Linked DNA regions of Caenorhabditis elegans. The protein of the gene in region 2 purifies or fractionates together with the protein of the main gene of each other region. This does not show direct contact. Each region holds a gene or a part of one and is shown on either strand. Other genes may lie near its edges.

Region 1 (9,000 bases), on a different chromosome or scaffold from region 2:
AAAACAAATAATATACAGTAGTTAGAACTTTCCCGGTTCATAAGTTTTTGATATAACTATCAATAATGTCAACCAAATTATACGTATCTTGAACACCAATTAATTTTATTAGATTTGCACTATTGTGAAAAAAAAAGAAATAACTTTTACACTGACCGAAATTAAACCCCATTTCAGGATGGTGTTTTCCTACTTCGTATGGTTGCAACTCACGCCGGAGAACTACCCTGTTACGAGCTTGCGAAAACGTTATGGAACAACTACTGTGACAATAAAGAAGGAAAAATGCACGACGTGTGACACACCCCAACTTCGTAGCTTTTTCAATTTCTTCTAACACCAGTTCTCAAATTTTGATCATGAAATCTCACTTTCGAAAATCATAGAATTGTCGTCAATGGGTGTAGTCGTCTTTAGCTGATATTCTCAATTTTCTGTTGCTAGAAAATATCGAATCATCAACTGCATTTAAACATCCAGATCAATGGAAACTATTCACTTATCTTTTCCTCCTCATCATAATTCTCTTGAAAACCAAAACTAAACAATTTTGGAGGGTTTTAGAAGAGTGCCAAAACTTTTAAACTTTTGTATTGAATCAATTTTTAAATTTCTCAATTGAATACTTCAAAAAGTTGCTCAAAACTTTATCGATCCATTGTCATTTTCACCTCGAGCTTTTTGTCAATTTCACATTTAATTCAATTGTTTTCTAATTTTTTTTTTGTAAATTCTATTTACCAATTTCCAAATTTTCTATTATCAATTTATCAAAACTTTAATGACGCGGTTGTCTTTATGAATGTTCATAACTTTCAAATTATTATACCTAAATTTCCTCTAAAATTAACTCCCAAAAGTCTTTTGTAATTTTTTTCTCCAATTTTATTCCCTTTCCCCCCATCCTCCCACTTCTCCTTCCTTCTGTGGTTTCTTTCAAATGGCATCATGTCTTTTCAAATTACCTGGATTCACGTTTGTAATATAGATAATTTTTGTCCTTCCCCCCAAACTCACTTGATACAAAAATTAACTTTCTCGCCCTGTAATTCATATTTCTTCCAGTTTGTCTTCATCATCCACCTGCCAATGTTCAGTTTTCACCAAAGTTTTGAAAACGGAACCCACAAACTTTGCCATATTTTATTGTGGATTTGGATTATTTAATATTATTTGAAAATGAATAAAATAACAATTTTTCATTCTACTTCTCAGTAATTTTATAGTAGAGGAAAATAGCATACTTGCTTTGCAAATAAAAACAATTAAATAGAAAAGAAAAATGGCAAAATATATTTTTTTGAAAAACTATATAAAAACCGTCACAAAATTTACAGACATTTTGAAGGTTGTAAATTAATTAAGTTTTTGAAGAATGTTTAAATCTATTAGAATTCTTTACTTTTTTCACTGTCATTTTCGAAACAAACCTCACTTGCTCTGCAAAGACTAGAAGATCCAAAAACCAGGCTATTCAAAAAAACATCACAAGATGTCACAATAGAGCTATTGGAATATTCGATCCCAGTTTCCGGGGAAACAGTTTGCAAACACCAACCATCCTACGCAACTCATTTCTTCTTGTTTTGTGCTCGGTGTGTGGTCGAATATGTCAAATAATAATAGTTCCACTAATTCTACTGACACAAACTCTACAACAACCACTACAACAACTGCCGAACCAACTAATATCACTGATAACCTTTTACAAAGATGTTATGAAACAGTTTTATCAGATAACCAGAGCGATATAGTGAAGGTTTGAAATGTGTTTGAATACTTCCATTTATTTCTTTTTTTTTAATTTCAGTACCTTATGTATTTTTGTGGTGGCTGGATAATAGTATGGTGCTTAATAACTATATTGGTAAATATTTGCCATAAGTAAGTTATCTGATAGTATTTTTTCGAGTCGAGATTTGTAACATTTCAGGAATAAAGGGCACCAACGATATGTACACTTTTACGAAGAACTTTCAATTATTCTCCTGGCAGTTTGCATGTGTATTCTTAACTTTGTATTCAATCATAAATCAGTGAGTAATTAACAAAATAAACTCAGAGAAGTTTGTATATTTAGAATATCTGCAAATTTGTGGCGATTTTCAATCATTTTTTCATGTGCCTGACAGCTTCAATATTCTTTGCGGAAGCATTATTCGCATCGTCGTAAGTGAAATATTCTAATTATATTCACGTTTTTCAGTGTCAAATTTCAGAATGGTGCATGGAAAATCCGATAAAAACGGAAGTATTCCGTGGATTTTGTACTACATCTTCCCGATTGTTCTTGCAATAGGACCAACGTTAGCGACATATTTTCCAGAGAAAAAATATTATGGAACAGCATATTTACAGTGGGACACTTTCAGACTTTATAATAAACGTTATCGATTTCCAGCTGTTCTGCCATTTCCACTGTGGATATGCTTTGGGGGTTTGTGATTCCGGTATGGGTTATTTTAACGTTAGCTGGGCTGAAAGCGCAACTAGCGTGTATTGCATGCGACCGGCAACTACCATCTCAAGATATTTATCAATGCTATTGGGCGAGAAGATCAGTAAAATCATTGGTTTTGATTTCGCAGTATATATTCAGCATTTGGCTTATGATATTATTTGCTGCAGAACACCAGGTTCGGATACATTTGTGTTCTTCTATAGTTTTGAATAGAAAGAAATTTTTAAAAAAGTTACACTTTCGAAGTAAACTATAAAAACCATTCGTGAATTTTTAGATCATACGTATGAACAAACTGTTACTATTATGCAAAACGTCATTTTAATTTATTGCAATTATCAAACCGCTAATTGTTTTTGAGCCAGATATGCATGAAACTATGGCTTTAATAAAATTCAATTCAGAAACTCTACTTGTTTATTCTGGTCACCTTCATGACACTCCTATTTGGACCAGCTCTTTTTGTTTGCCACACATATGGACATTTGAATGTAAGCAACTGATTTTTCATGCACAGTCTGTTTTTTTGCTTTTCAGACCTGTCAGAAGTGGGCTGGTTCGGGGTGTTTTGCTAGTTTATACGCTATGTGTCCACCGAAACCTTCAACATATGAAAAAGATAAAGATGATGAAGAAGATGAGAAGATTGAAAATCCTCAGGAAAAAACACCTCTAGAAAATGAAGATGAAAATCCAGAAAAGCAACCTGGAGCTGGCGACTCGAAAGAGCCAGATGAGACATCAGGAAATAGTAGTCCGAAAAAATCAACACAAAGAGGAAAAGGACTGGTGAGTGTTGCTATCAATTTTGATGTGTCTACTATATTTATTTTTCTAGGACCCCACAAAGCACACAGAGTCTCAAAAATTCTACTCATGGCTCACCGATTCGAGCAATAGCGGAAACAGTGGAGACATTTTGTTTCGTCCATCTGTTGCTTAGTGGCGCTAAATGATCGCATTTTTCGATTATGTGCCTTCAATTGTGTTGATAGAAAAATATTTATTAAACATAAAGTGTTTTATAAAGCCAATGAATTAAAAATATTTTAAAAACCTGGATTTGTGAGAAAAATAACGTGTTGATTATTCGTCGTCTTGTTCCATGGATTCCTCACTTTCGTTGTCGAAGACAGAACGGAATGGTCGTGGAGCTGGATCAACTGGACGGCCATCGGCGGTCTTAGCTTGAGCAAATCCGACACGGTTCTGATCAAAATCGAAGACGGAATAGTACCTGATTTTTCATTGGGTTCGTCAATGTTTAATTTGAGAAAAGATATGGCTCACCTTCCAATGAAGACATCTCCAAGAATCCAGAGCTCTCCAACGCGTTCTGGGAGATCGATTCCCATAAATCCAGACAAGCAAATAGTCTTTCCACCCTGTGAAACCTTAAGGACATAGTCTTCTCCCTTAAGACTGAACTCTTGTCCTCCGATCACAAAAGAGACTGGTGGAAGTGTTGGAACCTTGTCGCAGCTGATCATGTACTCTCCCTTGATGAGAGGCTCAGCTCCAATGAAATTTTGGATGGCTTCGATTTGAGCCTTTGGTCCGGCTATGAGAGAAGTACCGGTATCAGCAATTGCTTGGCATCCATTGGAGCATCCAAGAACTCCAGATCCAACAACCTTGTCCATCTTGAATTGCCAGTATCCCTTTCTGGTGACTGGAACATAGGTGATTGGCTCAACATATCTTCTTGAGTCAATTCCTCCAAAAGTGATTTCTCCTCCAATTTCAGAGTCTGGGTTACGGTTGAGCCAAAATGAGAAAAGATTCGATGGGACCTTCTTCTGTTCGAAAAGAGTGTTGAACACTGGTTGAACTCCTGCAATAGAGTATTACAGAAGTGAGAAAACCTAGTAAGTGCTCAGAAAATAAAAGTCATTTTCTGTAATTATTGTACCTTTGATGGCATACAGGATGCAACTTATTATTACTTCACACCAAAATGTTCAATGCACAGCTTTTATAACTAAAACAAAATGCTGAACCCTTCCGATTATCCGGGTGTATCCCAGTCTACTTCAAACTCTTACCGAGAACCGCAATTTCAGGGTAAGCCATTCCGAGGATTCCGTCGAATTTGGCAGCGACAAAGGTGATTCCTGGTTCACTGGTTGCTTCAGCAAATGGCTGATCCTCAGCGCACACTCCTGCGACGCAAACGCTATCCTTTGAAATGAATCCCTTCATGGATCCAGTTCCATATTGAATTGCCATCTTTCTACCATCCTCCTTGTATGTTGACGAGCTCTTTGAGTCGTAACGGTGATGAAGCACTGAAATGAAAAAGTGTTTTATTTGTTTGTCCAAACCATAAAACTGTCAAAAACAAACACGTTTCGGTCAGCATCAGTTCACAAGAAAAAGCATGATATCAGTTTGATTTGGTGATGAAATACTTACTGCATGCAATGTCGTAGAATGGACACTTTTTCGATGGAATCCACAAATTGGAAGACCCAGTATCAAAGATGACTGTGAAGTTTTGAGCTGGAGTTCCGATTGAGATGGTTCCAAAGTATTGAGCCTAAAACTTTGATTAGTTATATGTTTTTTGTTGTTTCAATTCTCACATCCATATAGTTTCTGAGAAGCTCATCAATCTCTCCTTCAACATTCAAAGCTTGGTACTTGTCGAAATGATGATTTCCATTGGTTTTCAAGTACTTCTTATATCCATGACGATGCTTGGCAAAGGTTTCGAATGAACCGGCTTGAAGAAGAGTCTCGCGAAGAGTCGGCTGCTTCTTCAGGGAAACGCTGCAAGCAGAATAAGAACTGAGCAACTGCTGAGTGGGTCACTTGTTTTTGTTCTTGTTGTTCGGATTTTTGAGCAGTGTTGATCAACTCGAATGGGATAAGCAGGAGGGTCTTGTGACCCATCGAGAGAAAAAGTGGCATGATGTGCCTTCTCGAAATCTTAGATTTGTGAGACAAAATAGAAAGAAAAAGTGTTATGATCAAAGTAGAAAGAAGTGTTCCCAACAAAACCCAATGAATTTAAATAATCCTTTCACAGTTAGAAAAATTTTATTAGGTTTTTTTTTTAATGTCAAAATCAGATTTGAAACTACAATAAAAAACAATGGACAACTTTCAGTTCTTTATAGTATCCTGTCTAAATGAGATTCTGACGGGATTATATAATATTGAAACAGATAACAAGGTTACTCATTACCGAGGATTCAAGTATCAATCAATCTTGCACATTATCACACCTATTCAGTTATGTCATAAGTAGGTGTTTGCGTGGCACCTAATATTAAGAAACATGACCAACATTTTCACTATATCGATGATCAAAATGAGGTGTCAACAAACCTCCAACGACCTCTACTTACGTTCTCAATTTCTGTTGCCTCTTGTGAACATGAAGACCTTGAACGAGAAGAAGTGCTCCGAGGAGCAAAAGAATACAGCGGTTCATCCTGACGATGAAACTAACTGAATGCCTCTTCCGATCTCAATTGTGCCTTTTCTTATCTCCCCTTTCTCTTCATGATGACTCCGCCTTGTTTCTTTGCCGGCACAACAGCAGCTGCAAGGTCAACTGTCTCGTTGTTATTCCTCCAGCTGTCATGCATAATTATCGGAAAGTAAATTCTAAACATTCAAAAAATGGCCTGACCGTTGTCAACGTGTCCGTCTGTACCGGTGAGATGACAAGTTTGAATGATAAGGGAATTGTGAAACTTTGTTCTGTTTCGATTTAGGGGAGAGAAAATGGGATAATTTCAAAACTCGGCCAAATCAAGATCCTATCTAATTTTGTCTTCAAGGTTGTTGTAGACAGTAATTGGGACTTTTGACGGAGTTTGAAAGACAGTTAGTCAATCACGCAATGGACTATGAAAAAAATTGCATGGCCACTTTTGAAATAAAACCAAAACGTTTGGAAGACCAAGCAATTTTAATGTTAAACTGTTAAACATAGAAGACACAAAAGCTCTGTAAATTGAGGTTTTTTTGTGGATGGAAAATAGCGTGGATGCTGCCCGTTTTTTCCGTCTGATTTGTGAACAACAGTGTTTGAATGCTAAGGATAATATTGATTTAGGTTCATTCATCTTAAAACAACTATGATTGGGTTATAGCTTTACAAAACAGATTCTACAATTGTTCAAGGGCTCCTATATCAAGTAGTTGCTTAAATTAAGCCTATAAAATATACAAGTTGCGTGGAAAACTTACAGGAGATTTAAAAATTGTTTTTGAAAAACTATATACAATTTTCGTATAACATTGTTGACATTTTTGTTCAATGTTCAATTTTCAGTTTTCATTAAAATTGTTGATGAAATTATCATGTCCTAATGCAATGTCCTAATGCATACATAAAAAATTTTAGATGAAATGGATTAGCATGAAAAAAGCTATACAATAAAAACTATTATTGGAAACAACCGGCACTGGATATATGAATATTATGTATCTTTTAATCACAACTCTCGAAAAAGTTATCCCCCCAAAGTCTGAAGAATTGAGCATAGTGAAACTTTACTTAACTAACAAAATTGAAAAATAATATTCCACAAAAAAGGGCAAATTAAGGCAGATGAAAAAAAAAACTTTAAAAAAAAGCACACTATTAAATTTTCCAGATTTAGTAATCAGAACGCTGCATTCAATTCCGTCATGAAGTTTATAAACGTTTAGTTCTTTTAAAACCTAGTATTTTGCAATAAACACCAGAAATGTACAAGTTCGGCCAAATTGGATGCAAAATCAGAAAAAATCGGAAATAAAAATCCGGTAATTTGGGGGCTCACCTCATATTCTGAAACAACGAGAACTTGATTTACATATGGTTCTTTGATATTTAATTTTAAGCAATTTTTTAATTAGTAGTGACACTTTAGTTGTTTGTTTTGTTTTCCAACTATTCTTTTACATTCTTATAACTTCAATTTTTCATTTATGAGGTTTGTAAAATAATTTATTCACAAATAAACTTGAATCAAAGTGTATAAATATATTCTTTCAAACATCTTCTTCACAATATGTGAAATTAAACATCAATCAGAATCCGTTGTGAATGTCATTGCAGATGTTCCCTCTCCACCATTTGCCAACGCTTCCTCCATTTGTTCTTCATCTGACCTGATTCCATAGATCTTGCGAATTTCTTCCGTGCTTTTTCCTCGAATCAATTCTGCTGCGGCTGCACACCCCATATTCATCAAATCTTCGACTCCAAGCGCATGAGAAGCATTGAGTAGTGCAAAAAGAACTCCCGATTCCACGTTGAAAAACTGCTTGTCCCATTCGGAAAAATCGTGGTAACGAATTTTGGAGTCTCGTCGGGCGAGCGGGTTGTCCTGATAATGGTAAAGCCACTCTATTACAGCTTGAACAATCGATGAGTGGAATGGAACGAGAATTGGATCTGCTCGTTCACAATTTCTGTCGTTCACTCCATGGTCAATAAACTTCTGATTGATAAATGCACAAAATTTCATTGGTCCTCGTTCGACATTAAAAATTTGACCATCCTCTGACTTCAGTTTGTACAAGGGCGCAGATCGTGGTGTGGTCATGATGTGGAACTAAAGGTAATTGATTAAATAGTTTTGCAATTGTTTCAAAAATATTATTGAGTGGATTCAAACCACACAAAAATAAATATATAAATGAGATATCTTTAAAGTAATTTTTATTATTTATTTGGCGAATCATAGACCTGTGGAAAAGAGCTGGAAGAATACACTATGAATTTATTAAAGATGGAATGAAACGATTAAAAACTGGAATTGTAAAATTTTTTGAAGAAAAGTGAATGGCGTTGTGAGTCAAGTTGATCAAAGGCAAATTTTCTATATTACAAATCTACAGCGAAAGTTTTAAAATATAAATTGAACGAAGAAGCAGAGAAAATAAAATTGAATACAAGACGGTTGAACACGGGAAATTAGCATTAAATGTGGTGGTGGCTGAGAAGTATGGTGGTTGTATTTAAGTTTTTTTGTAGGGAATCGAGAAGAGAATTTTTGATTCAAACTTGAAAAATAAAGTTGCATTGTTTACAAAATTAGTATGGTTTTTGCATTTTTTCTGTAAAATATAAAAGACGAAGAATACTTTTGCTAAAATGTTGCCCAAATTATCACAAAAATTTCAAAAATGGGCTCAACTTTGATCTTATGATTACATTTTTCTCACTTCAAATATTTACTGAAATGAAAACAAATAGTCTAAATTTTCCCATACCATACGAAACACCACACATCTGAAATGAAATTCCTAAGCCGCTGCAGCCACCACTGGATATACTGGCTGCTCCTCCTCTTCATCATTCACCAATCCGTCAATAATCTCTCTAGGATTTTGTCCGACGACACGGCAGCACATGGCGAAGAGACCAGGTACAGTAAAATCCCTCGCGGCTCGGATTATATCAAAGAGCATGTTGTGCCTCACCATCAGAAACGACGCATCCCAGTCAGGAATATCATTGGTTTCCGGTTCAGATTCGTCGTAGGGCGGGTCGTGCTTATGATGGTCGCACCACTCGATCACTTTCCTCATCA
Region 2 (11,569 bases):
TTTAAGGACCACTTCTAATGATATCATAAGCTCCCCGAGCAACTTTCGCAATAGAAAAAAGTGACGTCACTCTTTGCTGAATCACCACTGTTTTCTGTTAGAATTTCATAGTTTGTAGACAGCTGAAAATCTTTGATTTCTCTGCGTCTCCCGTAATTTTTTGATCTTTTCCGTATTCCGGCCATGCAACCCTTTTGTTTGTAGAGTAGAGTGTAGTTTTGTTTGGTTGTTAGCTGGCTGACTACGATTTTGTTGGAAAACTGGTGAAAATGTTTCGGCCATTTTTTCATTGAAAAGCCATTCTTAGTATCTACTTTTTAGTGGAACTTCTGATAATATATTGCCTAGGTTTCAATGTTTTCCATATTGAGCTCACGGAGCATTTTGGTGCTCCGCAATTTTTTGTTTAAAAAAAATGACGTCATTGTTCATTTTTATTATAAAATTGTTATTATAAGTTCAGCTCCCTTAGAGCGTCAATTTGAGCCCCATATTGCCTAGGTTTCAATATTTTTATATTGAGCTCACCGAGCACCTGGGTGCTCCACGAGCTTGAAAGCTGAAATTTTAAAACTAAAATAATCTAAACAATGTGGATGTAAAGTTTTAAAATTTTTGGTTAATTGAGCACGAATATTTACAATTTGGAGTGTTCTGTGCTAACGGAGCAACTCTAAATGCTCACAGAGCCCTACATCAAAACTGTGGGAATGTAGGCATGATGGGTGTTAAATTGAAGCTCTCAGCCAGCTGAGCTGAATCTAGCTAAATTGAGCCCACATTTAATTTCGGTGATCCGGGAGCCAGAACTAGAAACTTTTTTCATATTAATCAGATTTAAAATTGTTTGTGCCGTGCACAATTTTTTTTTCTTATTTCCCTCTAGTTGTATGACGTCATTGAACTTTTGATATAAAGCTTTTTATTATAAAATTTGATTTCAGCTTCTTGGGAGCTTGAGAGCCATATTTTCTAGTTTTAGAGATGTTTAAGGTTGAGCTAACTTTGTGCTCCGCGAGCTGGGAGCTTAGAAGCTGAAAATTTGTAAATTTAGATCAAATTCGAAAACATTTTTGTGCAAGCTCACGAAGCATCTTTTTTTTTGACGTCACGTAAACCACTATGATTACCAGATTGTGGAGCTGAATTCAGCGCCTGGTGCTCCGCGATCCCATAAAAACTTTATTTTAAAAGTTTTTGGTTTGTAGGAATGCTCCGCGAGCTTTGAACTTTTGCTTAAAAACTCTAATTTTAATAATTTTTATTTTCTTTCAGTTCAGCCCCTTTACAATCAACTTTCTACAAAAACCCCATACTTATTCAGAAACACAATGGAATTACCCATAATATCTCAGCAACCCTTAATACCAGAACAACCCCCGACGACAGTTCTACAACTGCTCACAAGTTTGAGCAAAGTCGAGGTGCATGAAATCATGCAACCTGTGGAGATTTTGGCGGATTGGGGGACCGCAAAACGATACCAGATTAGAAATGAAAATGGAGAACAGTGTTATGATGTGCTCGAAGAGTCCGATGGTAGTGAAAGAAGGTTCTGTGGTTCACAACGTGGATTTGTAATGCATATTAACAATGCATTGAAAGCGGTAGGCAGCTCTTAGAGCATTTGTAGTAGCTGAAATTTGGTCTAATGCTCCGCGAGCTCTGGCAGAAAGGTGCCGAAATTTCTTTCAAAACTGTTTTAAAACTACATAGATTTCTGATCATTTTTGTCTTGCAAAATCCCCGTGATGAATATTGGGATTTCTTGACTAATCACTTAAGAAACTAGGAGAAAAATATCAAAAATTCAGTTTTCCAGGAAGTTCTGACCGTCAAGCGTGAGTTCCGATGTTGTGGAGGCTGCTGCTATGGCTGTTGTGCATGTGTCGGTTGCTGTCAGCACGATTGCGTCGTTGAATCCCCAACTCTGGGGACGCTAGGTACTATTCGCCAGCGGTTTGGATTTCTGACTACTAGTTTTGACGTTATGGATGGAAAAGGGGCCCGAATCTTCCGAATTGAGATTCCATTCTGGAAGTTGATGGGATTTCAGGATAAGGAGTTTTCGGTAAGTCAACACAAGCCCATAAAGTGTCGGCTGCTCGAATCTTTGGCTAGTTTCGTGCAGCCGACACATTTCGGGTTTAGCATGAGACGTCGGTTGTTACTCACCGGGCCAAACCCGTAGAGCGTCGGGTGCAACTTGCAATTTCACAATAAAATGTCCGCTGCTTCCCTTAGATTCCTCAATAATTCCAGATCAAAAACATCGATGATGGCACAGAAATTGGCAAGATCATCAGAAAGACGGCACGTTTGGCTGGCGAACCCATCGTTTTCAAAAAATATACAATAAATTGTAGGGTTTTTTCATTAATATCTAAAAAACCATCAGTTTGCAGTTCCTACCGACCTGGATGTGAAGCTCAAAGCAGTACTGATGGGAGCAACATTTTTGATTGTGAATGTAAGTTTAGTTACTACCAAAAGTTTAAAGCAATTTAATTTTAGAACTTTCTGGAGTTCCAACAAATCCACGATGTCGACGAATCCACGATCGGTTGTGGAGGTTTGTGTTTCCTGATGTTTAAAACAAGCATGCAACTAATTTTATTTTAATTTTAGGTTCATCGTATGTCCGGTGCTGCCCCATTTGTTAGTCACAAACATTCTGCCTGCAATTGTTTTTTTTTCTATTTTTTTTACTTAAAAATGTTGAAATTCAAACTTTTTATTATTTTGTTTTTTTATTTTAGTAAAATCAATAAAAAAATGTTCTAGCACCATCGGAAATAGGTTTTAAAATTCTGACGAAAAAAAATCGTTGTCAAACGGGCGGGAGTGGGGAAAAGTGAAAATTGGGGGGAAGAAAATTCTAGAAAAAAATCAATATTAGCGGAATGTACAGAAACCGAAATTGTACCGTAACAAGAGACGAGAAAAGTTCACTATTTTTTTCGGAAAAATTCAATCAATAATCTAAATTAAAGATATGACAGGAGATCGATCGATTTTGAGACTTTTTGAATTGGAAATCAGATTTTTTAAAAACAAATGAAGTTAATATAAAATCTGGGAAAATGTTAATATGACAAGAGTGATGACGTGGAAAATTGAATATTGGGTGCCGGATGACGTGGCTTCCATCTGGACACTTCTGACGGCTAACGGTGAAGCATGTTGGCCTCCAAAGTCGCCGGTTTCCCGATCAGTTCCGTAGAGCACGAGTTCCCATTTTACAAGCTCGGCGTCTGCAAAAATCGATAATCACTCCTAAAAATCAATGAATTTTCAGAAATCAATACTCACCATCCCATCCATCATTATCGATTTCCAGAATCCACAGCCCGGCGGCCTGCTCCCCCCAGTTATGGGTCGTCATGAAAGCCCAATCTGTGAAGCCACTTCGTGATGTGTCGCGTGCTCTTTTTGTGAGCAACGTGGATTTTGTGCCTGAACGTTTTAAATTTTTTTAAATTTGAAATTTGCAGCTGAGCATTTTCGCTTTTTGAGCCAATGTTCTAGCTTTTCGTCAAAAAAAGTTATGAAGGTTTAAAAAAAGTCAGTTTTACATCCTAAATTTATTTTCAAAATCATTACCTGACGGAGAAGTCAAGTAGATTTGCAAATCTCCACGTTTTGGAGCTTTCAATGTGACGATTGCCTGCACGTGCTCCACATAAGACACCTTATTCTCATCGGCTCCACCATAACATCCGTCGGAGTAAAGTTGGAGTTGAAGGCGGTTTCCGTTGGGGATATTTCTAAAAACTTGGAGTTTTTTGGAATTTCTAAACATTTTCTCAATTTCTAGAATTTTCGGAAACTTCTGAAAACGCGTAGAAGTCCCTGGAAATTTCTGGAAAATTGTGTGAACTTCTGAAACTTCTAGAAACTTCTGGAAAAATCGAGAAATTTTTGGAAATTTCTGTAGACTTCTATAAACTTCTGGAAGATTTGAGAAACGTCTAGAAACTTGTCAAAAATTTTTGAAGATCTCAGGGATTTTCAGTAAATTTTTAAAATTTTCTCGAGTATTAGGAAACATTTTTAAATGTTTGACAAACTTCTAGAAAGTCTAAAAAAATTTTAATAGCTCCTGAAAACGGAAAATTCTTAAAAATTCTGAAAACAGCAGGAAAGTTTTAGAAATGTTTAGAAACTTTTGAAAACTTTTGCAAAATTCGAGAAACTTCTGGAATTTTTCATAAATTTGGGTGATAACTACTCACTTATATCTCGACGGATAAAACTGCCTGCACCGATGCTGCTCATCAACCTTCTTCCAGATCTTTGCCAGCTTCACCATGGCTCCAGCATCCATCAACCCATAACCAAAACTATGGGACACATTTCTCCCAACCCCATTTGTAGTCCAATCTCCTGCTCTTAAATTGATAGGCTTTGCAGTTCGTATCACAATATGTTGAAGGTCTCGCCACGTGAGATTCGGGTTGGCTTCTAGAGCAAGAGCAACAATTCCAGCAGCCAACGGAGCACTTGCACTGGTCCCCGTGTGCATATTTGTGCACGCGTGGTGTAGATCTGTGGTTAGGATCATCTTTTCGCCAGTTGCTCCACTAGAGTAGGTAGTCGCAAGGGTACTACTGCAAGCTTCAGAGTACCATGGGATATTTCCATTTTCAGTGGCACTTGATATGGATAACGTGTATATGGAGTTGGTGTACCCATCACAATTACACGAATCCGCGTCTTTTCCTCCATTTCCTGATGCCCATACAAAAATTGAGCCTTTTCCTTTTCGACCCATGGTGATTCCTTTTTCGAAGGCACTTCTTGTGAGTTTTGCGGGGCCGTCGACGGTTCGGCCATCGTCATCCGGTCCCCAGGATGCGCTGGAAGAGTTTTTTTTGTTTTTCGAAAAAATAACCAACAGAAAGAGAAAGAACTGACGATTACAATAGTTTTTAAATCTTTCAAAACATTAATTTTGAGTTATAGGCGTTTGAAGTTGGTGGCCTGACTTTGGATTATTTTTGATTTTCTAGGCCAGAACAAATTGAAAAGAATAAAAATATGCAGGTGGCCGAACTTTGGTTGGCCGAACTTTGGTTTTCTAGGCCATCAGCAATCAATTAAACTGGGAAGATGCGTAATCCAGGTCTAACTCTAACCCGTTGAAGATTTCGAAAAATATTGAATTTGAACAAAGTTATGAGCTTTTAAAGTTGGTGGCCTAGAAATTCAAAGTTAGGACACCAATTTCAAATGCCCATAACTCGATTAATACTGAATATTTTTGAATAATTTAAAAACTGTTCGCTCCGCTTTGGAATTCTGCATCTTTTTGACTTATTTAATTTTTGGTGGCCTAGAAATCCAAAGTTAGGCCACCAACTTCCAAGGTCCATAACTTGGCTCAAAATCAATATTTTTGATTGAAGCTGATGAAATTGTAAATTTTGGCTCAATTCTGAAATAATGCCCATACCTATAAATATCAATGTAATCTGCATTATGCCCAACGGAAGCGGCTTCGACGGCATCTGTGACGTCACCATCGAGCATTCTGATTCCACCGATATTTGCATTGTAAGCTATTCCAACAATACATAAACTATTATTAAAAATCGCCGCAACTTCTCCAGCACACCGAGTTCCATGTCGATTTTCATCCGAAAATTCGTATCTTGGCATCGGGTCATTATCTCGATCGTTGACGTCATATGAAGCACGTTCATCGTAATTCGGAGAAATATCTGGGTGAGTTCTTTCCAAACCGTCGTCAAGAATCGTGACGACGACTCCTTTTCCTGTGTACCCGAGGTCCCAGGCTTCTTTTACATTGTGATCCATACGGGTTGTTGAGTCAGAATGATGTTCACCTCGATTCTGAAAAGTTTAGAGAGTTAATTTAAAAATGGTTTTTGAAAAATTGAAAAATATTCAATCACCGCCGAGTTATGGGCATTTAAAGTTGGTGGCCGAACTTTGAATTTCTAGGCCATGAGAAGTTAGATATGCGAAAAAGATGCAGAATTTTAAGGTAAATTCTGTACATTTTGAATCATTGAAAAATATTGATTTTTCGTCGAGTTATGGGCATTTGAAGTTGATGGCCGAACTTTGGATTCCTAGGCCACCAACTTTATAACCTCGTAACTCGGCTAAAAATTAATATTTTCCGATGATTCAAAATGTACAAAACTGATCGGAAAGTTCTGCATCTTTTTTGTTTATCTAACTTTTGATGGCCTAGAAAATCAAAGTTCGGCCACCAAATTCAAATTCCCATAACTCGGCGGAAAATCAATATTTTTCGATGATTCAAAATGCATAGAATTGATCTGAAAGTTTTGTATTTTTTGACTTATTTAATTTTTGGTGACCTAGAAACCCAAAGTTAGGCCACCAACTTTAAGTGCTCATAACTCGGCGGAAAATCAATATTTTTCGATGATTCAAAATTTTTATAAGTGATCTGAAAATTCTGCATCTTTTTCACTTATTTAATTTTAAGTGGCCTAGAATATCAAAGTTCGGCCACCAACTATAAATGCTCATAACTCGGCGGAAAATCAATTTTTTGGAATAATTTAAAAACCATTGAATTTCTAATTTTTTGCTCAATAATTCAATAACCTACCAAATACCACATATCAGTCCACAACGGATCGTTCGGATCCGGATGTTTTCTATTTCTCGACTTGCTAATTTGAGTACCATCATCATCCTCTTCAAAAATATCATTATCATCAGTATGTCGTCGAATCCTTCGATATCCTCTTTTCACTCTCCGCTTCGCCACTTGCTGTTCCATCCACATGACATCTTCCTCGTGTTGAAGCTGATTTGCTGATAAGCTTCGCGTTTTTCGCGACGATCGACTCTTTTTTCGATCGTCACGGAATAAATAGTACTCGTCACCCGGAATTATCTGGAAAATAATTTTTCTTGAATTTTAAAAATATATAGATTTTCCGTAAAAATATAAAATTTCGAAAAAAAATTTTGTTTGGATTTATTTCAAAATTTTCAAAATCTTCTAACTTCCCTCAAAATCAATATTTTTTGACAATCTGAAAAGCGAAATTTTTGAAATTTAATAATATTCAATACTGTTAACATAAACTTTTCTAAAACAGCAAAAGTTTTTGAGTACTCTAGTTTTCGTGGCGGGACCTTGATTTTTTTTTGAAAATTTTCTAACTTTGCTTAAAATAATTATTTTTTGACGATCTAAAATGTTTTTATGTTTCTTTTAATTTGTTAAAAATTTATAACAATAACTGTTTTGAAAATCCGTGGGTCGGTTACTGTAGCTTTGCAGGCGAGACCCAATTTTGCTCAAAATTAATATTTTTCCACGATTTAAAATCAAAATTATGGAAATTTTTTTGAAATATTCAAAAATAAAACTAACCGGACCCAAATTCGTGTACCCGTATTTGTTCGCCAGTCGGTTCGCTTCTTCAACCTTCCCACCCGCTATCCGCACCGCCCACTCATTTGTGTACGTCCGCCTCATCGGTGACGCAATCGATGATATTGTCGTCGTGACGTCATCTTCGAACTCTTCATCAATGTGGGCGGAGCCTAAAGAGGCGGAGCCTAATAAAAGGAAAAGTGCAAGTGTGACGAGTTGAAGCCGAACCGAACAATGACGGTACCAACTGATATTTGACATTTTTGCAAATTTTCTTTTTGGAATATATTCCCCCGTCGCCGATGTTTATCGCATGATTTTCTTGAATATTTTGATGAATTTTCAGATGATTCGGGGGTTTCTGAAAATATTGAAAAGTTGGCAGAAGTAGAAAAAATAAAAAAAATAAAAAGGAGAAAAAGGAGAGGAAAAAGAAAGGAAAAAGGAGGGAAAAAGAATGAAGAGAAAAAAGAGGAAAGAGAAAGAAAAAAAGAGAAACTAGGGAGGAAAATAGGAAAAAAGGAGGAAAAAAAGAAGATAGGAAAATGAGCAAGAGTAGGAACAACAGAAAAAAAAAGAAGGAAAAAGAAAGAAAAAGGAGAAAATAAAGAAAAAAGAGGAGGAAAAGAAGGAAAAAAAGAAGAAAAAGATGATAAAAAAAAGAAAAAAAGAAGAGGTCAGGGAAGAAAAAATAGTAAAAATGGAGGAAGAGAAGGGAAAAAGAAACAAGAGGCAAAAACAGGAAAGAAAAGGAAAAAAGTGAGAGAAACCGGGTAGGAAAAAGGAGGAAAATGAGGAAGATAAGAAAAAAAAGAAAGAAAAACAGAAAGAAAGATATAAAAAAGTATCGGAAAAAGAAAGGAATAAAGAGGAAAAAAGGAGGAAAAGGAAAGGCCAGGGAAGAAAAAATATTAAAAAAGGAGGAAGAGAAGGAAAAAAGAAAAACAGAAAAAAATAGAAAAAAGAGAGAAACAGGAAAAGTTAGGGAAAAACTGACTAAAATTTGTAATAAATGGGAAAATTGTTGTATGACAAATTACCTAAAATTGTCTGAAAATTGAACCGAATTGAAAAAATAGACATTTTTTTTACTGAAAAAAATTCAAAAGCCCAACAAAAACCAAAACCAATAATAATTTTTTCCCCCAAAAAATGAATAATTCCTTCCAACTGAATAAATAACAAATTCCGACTGATTCCAGTGAGTCACTGGGAATCTGAAAATAAAACGGAAATATGCACATATAGAGACAGAGAGTTAGACGGCTAAAGTGTGTGCTCTCGGAGCCCAGAGGCAGAGGGAGCTAGGCTTCAAATTTATTCAGTTATCGCGTGTGAGCCAAGCGCCAAAATGATGGACATTGAAAAGAAAACGGGAAAATTTAAAAAAAATTAGTAGGACTTATCTAGTGATGCGGTTGAAACAAAATTACAAAAAAAAATTTATTGAAAATTTCGAAAAAAAATAAATTTTGTAATATTTTTTTTCTGTAAAATTTAAATTTTTTCAGAAATTTGAATTTTAAAGCACCAAAAAAACATTGAAAAAAGTACAGTTTTTATTCAAAATTATCCTAAAATCTTTGCGCTTTCAAAAGAGCACCAAAAAGAGCAAGAGCAGCTGCTGCTCCGGTCCATTGGGAATTAAAGTCTGAATGATGCTCCGATTTTAAAGCGGTTTTAGTGGGCTCACAGCACAACCCATGAAAGATTTGCGCAGCTGGAAAAAAAGTAAAAATTGTACTTTTAAAAAAACTTTGGTACAAAAAAATCAAACCTCATATCTGTCACACAAAGTAATAATTAAGGAAAACTGCTGACATCTAGAGAGAAATACGCAGAGAGATAAGATAAGAATGGAAAAAGTGCTTGTTTGTGCACACTATGTGACCCGTGTCAGCTGATTATTATCGGATTACATAGGGTAATGTTCAGGTCTGAATATTGTTGACCAATTGGAAGAAAAAATAGAATATTCTAGAAATATTTATGGATCAGACGATTCTAGAATATTTTAGAGACTTCCTAGAATAGCCAAAACGTTTTTTAATGTTTCTAAATTTTTTTAAAAATTTTCTTGAACTTTCTACAATTTTTTAGAGTTGCCTAGAACTTTTTGGAATGTTCTAAATTTGCCTATAATTTTTCTAGAACTTTCTGGAAATCTTAAGAAATTTATTTAACTTTCTAGACTTTTTTGGAACTTTTAAAAAATTTTCTGAATTTTTCTACAACTTTCAAGAAATTTTGGAGCTTTCTATAATTTTAGAATTTTCCAAAAATTGTATAGAACCTTTTAGAACATTCTCAGAATTTTTAGAATATTTAAAAGAATTTTCAAGAGTTTTCTAAAATTTTCTAGAACCTTCTAAAACGTTTTGAAACTTTTAAAAACTTTCAAGATTTTTCTAGAGTTATCCAAAAATTGTTAAAAATTTTCTAGAATTTTCTGGAAACCTTTAGAAGTTTTCTATACATTTTTCAAAAATTCTAAAATTTTTCTAGAATTTTTTAAAATTTGTTAGAACCTTCTAGAACATTTTTAAAGTTATCCACATCTGTTCAGAACTTTCAAAAAAATTATAAAACATCTTAGTACCCCTAGAATTTTGTTGAAAATTCTCTACGACTTTCTAGAATTTTCTGGACCTTTCTAAACCTTTCCAAAATTTAGAAAATTTTCAAAACTTCCAAAAAAGAAGAAAAAAAGCAAACTCCGTTATAAAAGATCAACACTTTCAATTTCGACCTCGTCCAAAATGTCTAAGGAGCCTTTGAGTGGAAAGTGAGAGCGTATGTTTGTGTTGTTCAGGTATAACACACAAAAATGTACATAAACGGAGAGAGAGAGAAAGCTTTGATGGTTTCGGGGGTGAGAGAGCAAATACGGATGACCCCGAAAATGGAAACCCCCAAGCGGGGGAAGATGACACCTTGTTTGGGCTGCTGGATGAAAGGATATCACCTGTCAGAAGCCACAATACACAGAGAGCATCAATAATGAAAAATATGTCAATTTTTTTTTGATTTCACATTTGAAGAGAGAGCGCAGAGAAAGAGAGTACTCTCGTTGTCTGCGCCCTCTCAACTTTCCTAAAACTTGAATTTTTGAGAGTTGTGAGTTTTGAGTTTAACTCGATATTTACAGAAGAGCTTTTTTTAAACTGATATTTCGTTCTCCTCTAAAGCATACAAAACTGACACCTCAAACTCCCTAAGGCTCAAAAAAGGGTTGTGTCCCATAATTCAATACACGCAGGAAAAATGTATCTTTTTTCATTGGAACTATGTATGAGCAAAAAAGCAGAAAAACCGAAAGAAGAGAGAGAGAGAGAGATAGGAATGTGACAACTTCCGGTTTTTAGTTTGAAATCGATCCCCCTTTTTGCATGATACTTTTGAAATTTGTTCCGGCGGAAGGCTCGGAAAATCAAAAAGTGATTTTTAGGCTTTATGCTTTTTTTTAGGCTTCATGCTAATTTTTAGGATAATAGACGCAGACGGTGCTCCCTCCAATGTTTAAAAGTGTATAACTCCGTTCACAGTTAAGATATTAAAAAGTTATCAACTATCAAAATATTCAGCATAAAATTTGCAATATTTTGTTAATTGGGAAATTTTTTATAGCTCAACTCTCCAAGGAGATATATCCGTTAAAAAAATATAAAAGGCGCACACAACGTGAGTCAAAGTTTGAACGTGTATAACTCCGCGCAAGGTTAAGATATTAAAAAGTTGCCAACTAGCAAAATATTCAGCATAAAATTTGCTACGTTTTTCCAGTTAAAAGTATTTTTCTAGCTCAACTCTCCGCGGAGCAAAACCTAGTCAAAACCTACTCAGAAAATTGGAAGAATACTTTGCGGAGCGAAATTTCGTCTGGTCAAAACCAGCAAAAAAGCGCCAAAAAAAAGCAAAGGAAAGAGTGAAAAACTGTTCATCAATCCATCATAAGAGTGGCCGAAACGTCTTCAAAGGGAAAAAACACCGCTGGAATCGGAATGGCCTTGGTCACTAGCCAATTCATTCATCAAAATTCGGGAGAAGGGAGGGTTCGGGAGTACGAAGAAAATTTGGGATTTATTTTTTATTTTTGAGTTTTTCAAAGCCTTGCCTGCCTGCCTACGCCTCCTTGAAATTTAAGGATAAATCGCATAAAATAGGAAAGCAGATTGATGG

What was found.
Region 1: the proteins of kpc-1 (region 2) and asp-4 fractionate together in Caenorhabditis elegans (co-fractionation; one large-scale study listed by BioGRID). This does not show direct contact.

Annotation. Positions count from the first base shown.
Region 1 is NC_003284.9:13,215,528-13,224,527, forward strand, and holds asp-4 (Aspartic protease 4), read right to left. Parts: upstream 5,936-9,000; 5' UTR 5,901-5,935; coding exon 5,815-5,900; intron 5,234-5,814; coding exon 5,047-5,233; intron 5,001-5,046; coding exon 4,877-5,000; intron 4,750-4,876; coding exon 4,507-4,749; intron 4,296-4,506; coding exon 3,752-4,295; intron 3,699-3,751; coding exon 3,548-3,698; 3' UTR 3,458-3,547; downstream 1-3,457. Other genes in the region: Innexin unc-9, read left to right, coding at 178-300; R12H7.4 (G_PROTEIN_RECEP_F2_4 domain-containing protein), read left to right, coding at 1,610-1,759, 1,811-1,884, 1,934-2,036, 2,081-2,169, 2,220-2,357, 2,402-2,636, 2,866-2,952, 2,999-3,250 and 1 more; skr-20 (Skp1-related protein), read right to left, coding at 7,489-8,010; skr-19 (Skp1-related protein), read right to left, coding at 8,714-9,000. UniProt on the Caenorhabditis elegans protein: Aspartic protease, which is part of the necrosis cell death pathway. Involved in neuronal cell degeneration. Involved in heat stress response.
Region 2 is NC_003279.8:11,672,127-11,683,695, reverse strand, and holds kpc-1 (Furin-like protease kpc-1), read right to left. Parts: upstream 7,752-11,569; 5' UTR 7,652-7,751; coding exon 7,388-7,651; intron 6,902-7,387; coding exon 6,611-6,901; intron 5,857-6,610; coding exon 5,456-5,856; intron 5,236-5,455; exon of another isoform or gene 5,146-5,235; intron 4,860-5,145; coding exon 4,236-4,859; exon of another isoform or gene 3,768-4,235; coding exon 3,604-3,767; intron 3,457-3,603; coding exon 3,313-3,456; intron 3,255-3,312; coding exon 3,064-3,254; 3' UTR 2,721-3,063; downstream 1-2,720. Other genes in the region: scrm-4 (Phospholipid scramblase), read left to right, coding at 1,332-1,607, 1,823-2,071, 2,263-2,362, 2,406-2,470, 2,515-2,572, 2,629-2,663. UniProt on the Caenorhabditis elegans protein: Furin-like protease which cleaves proproteins at the RX(K/R)R consensus motif. During neuronal development, regulates the formation and extension of dendrite branches and cellular positioning of various type of neurons.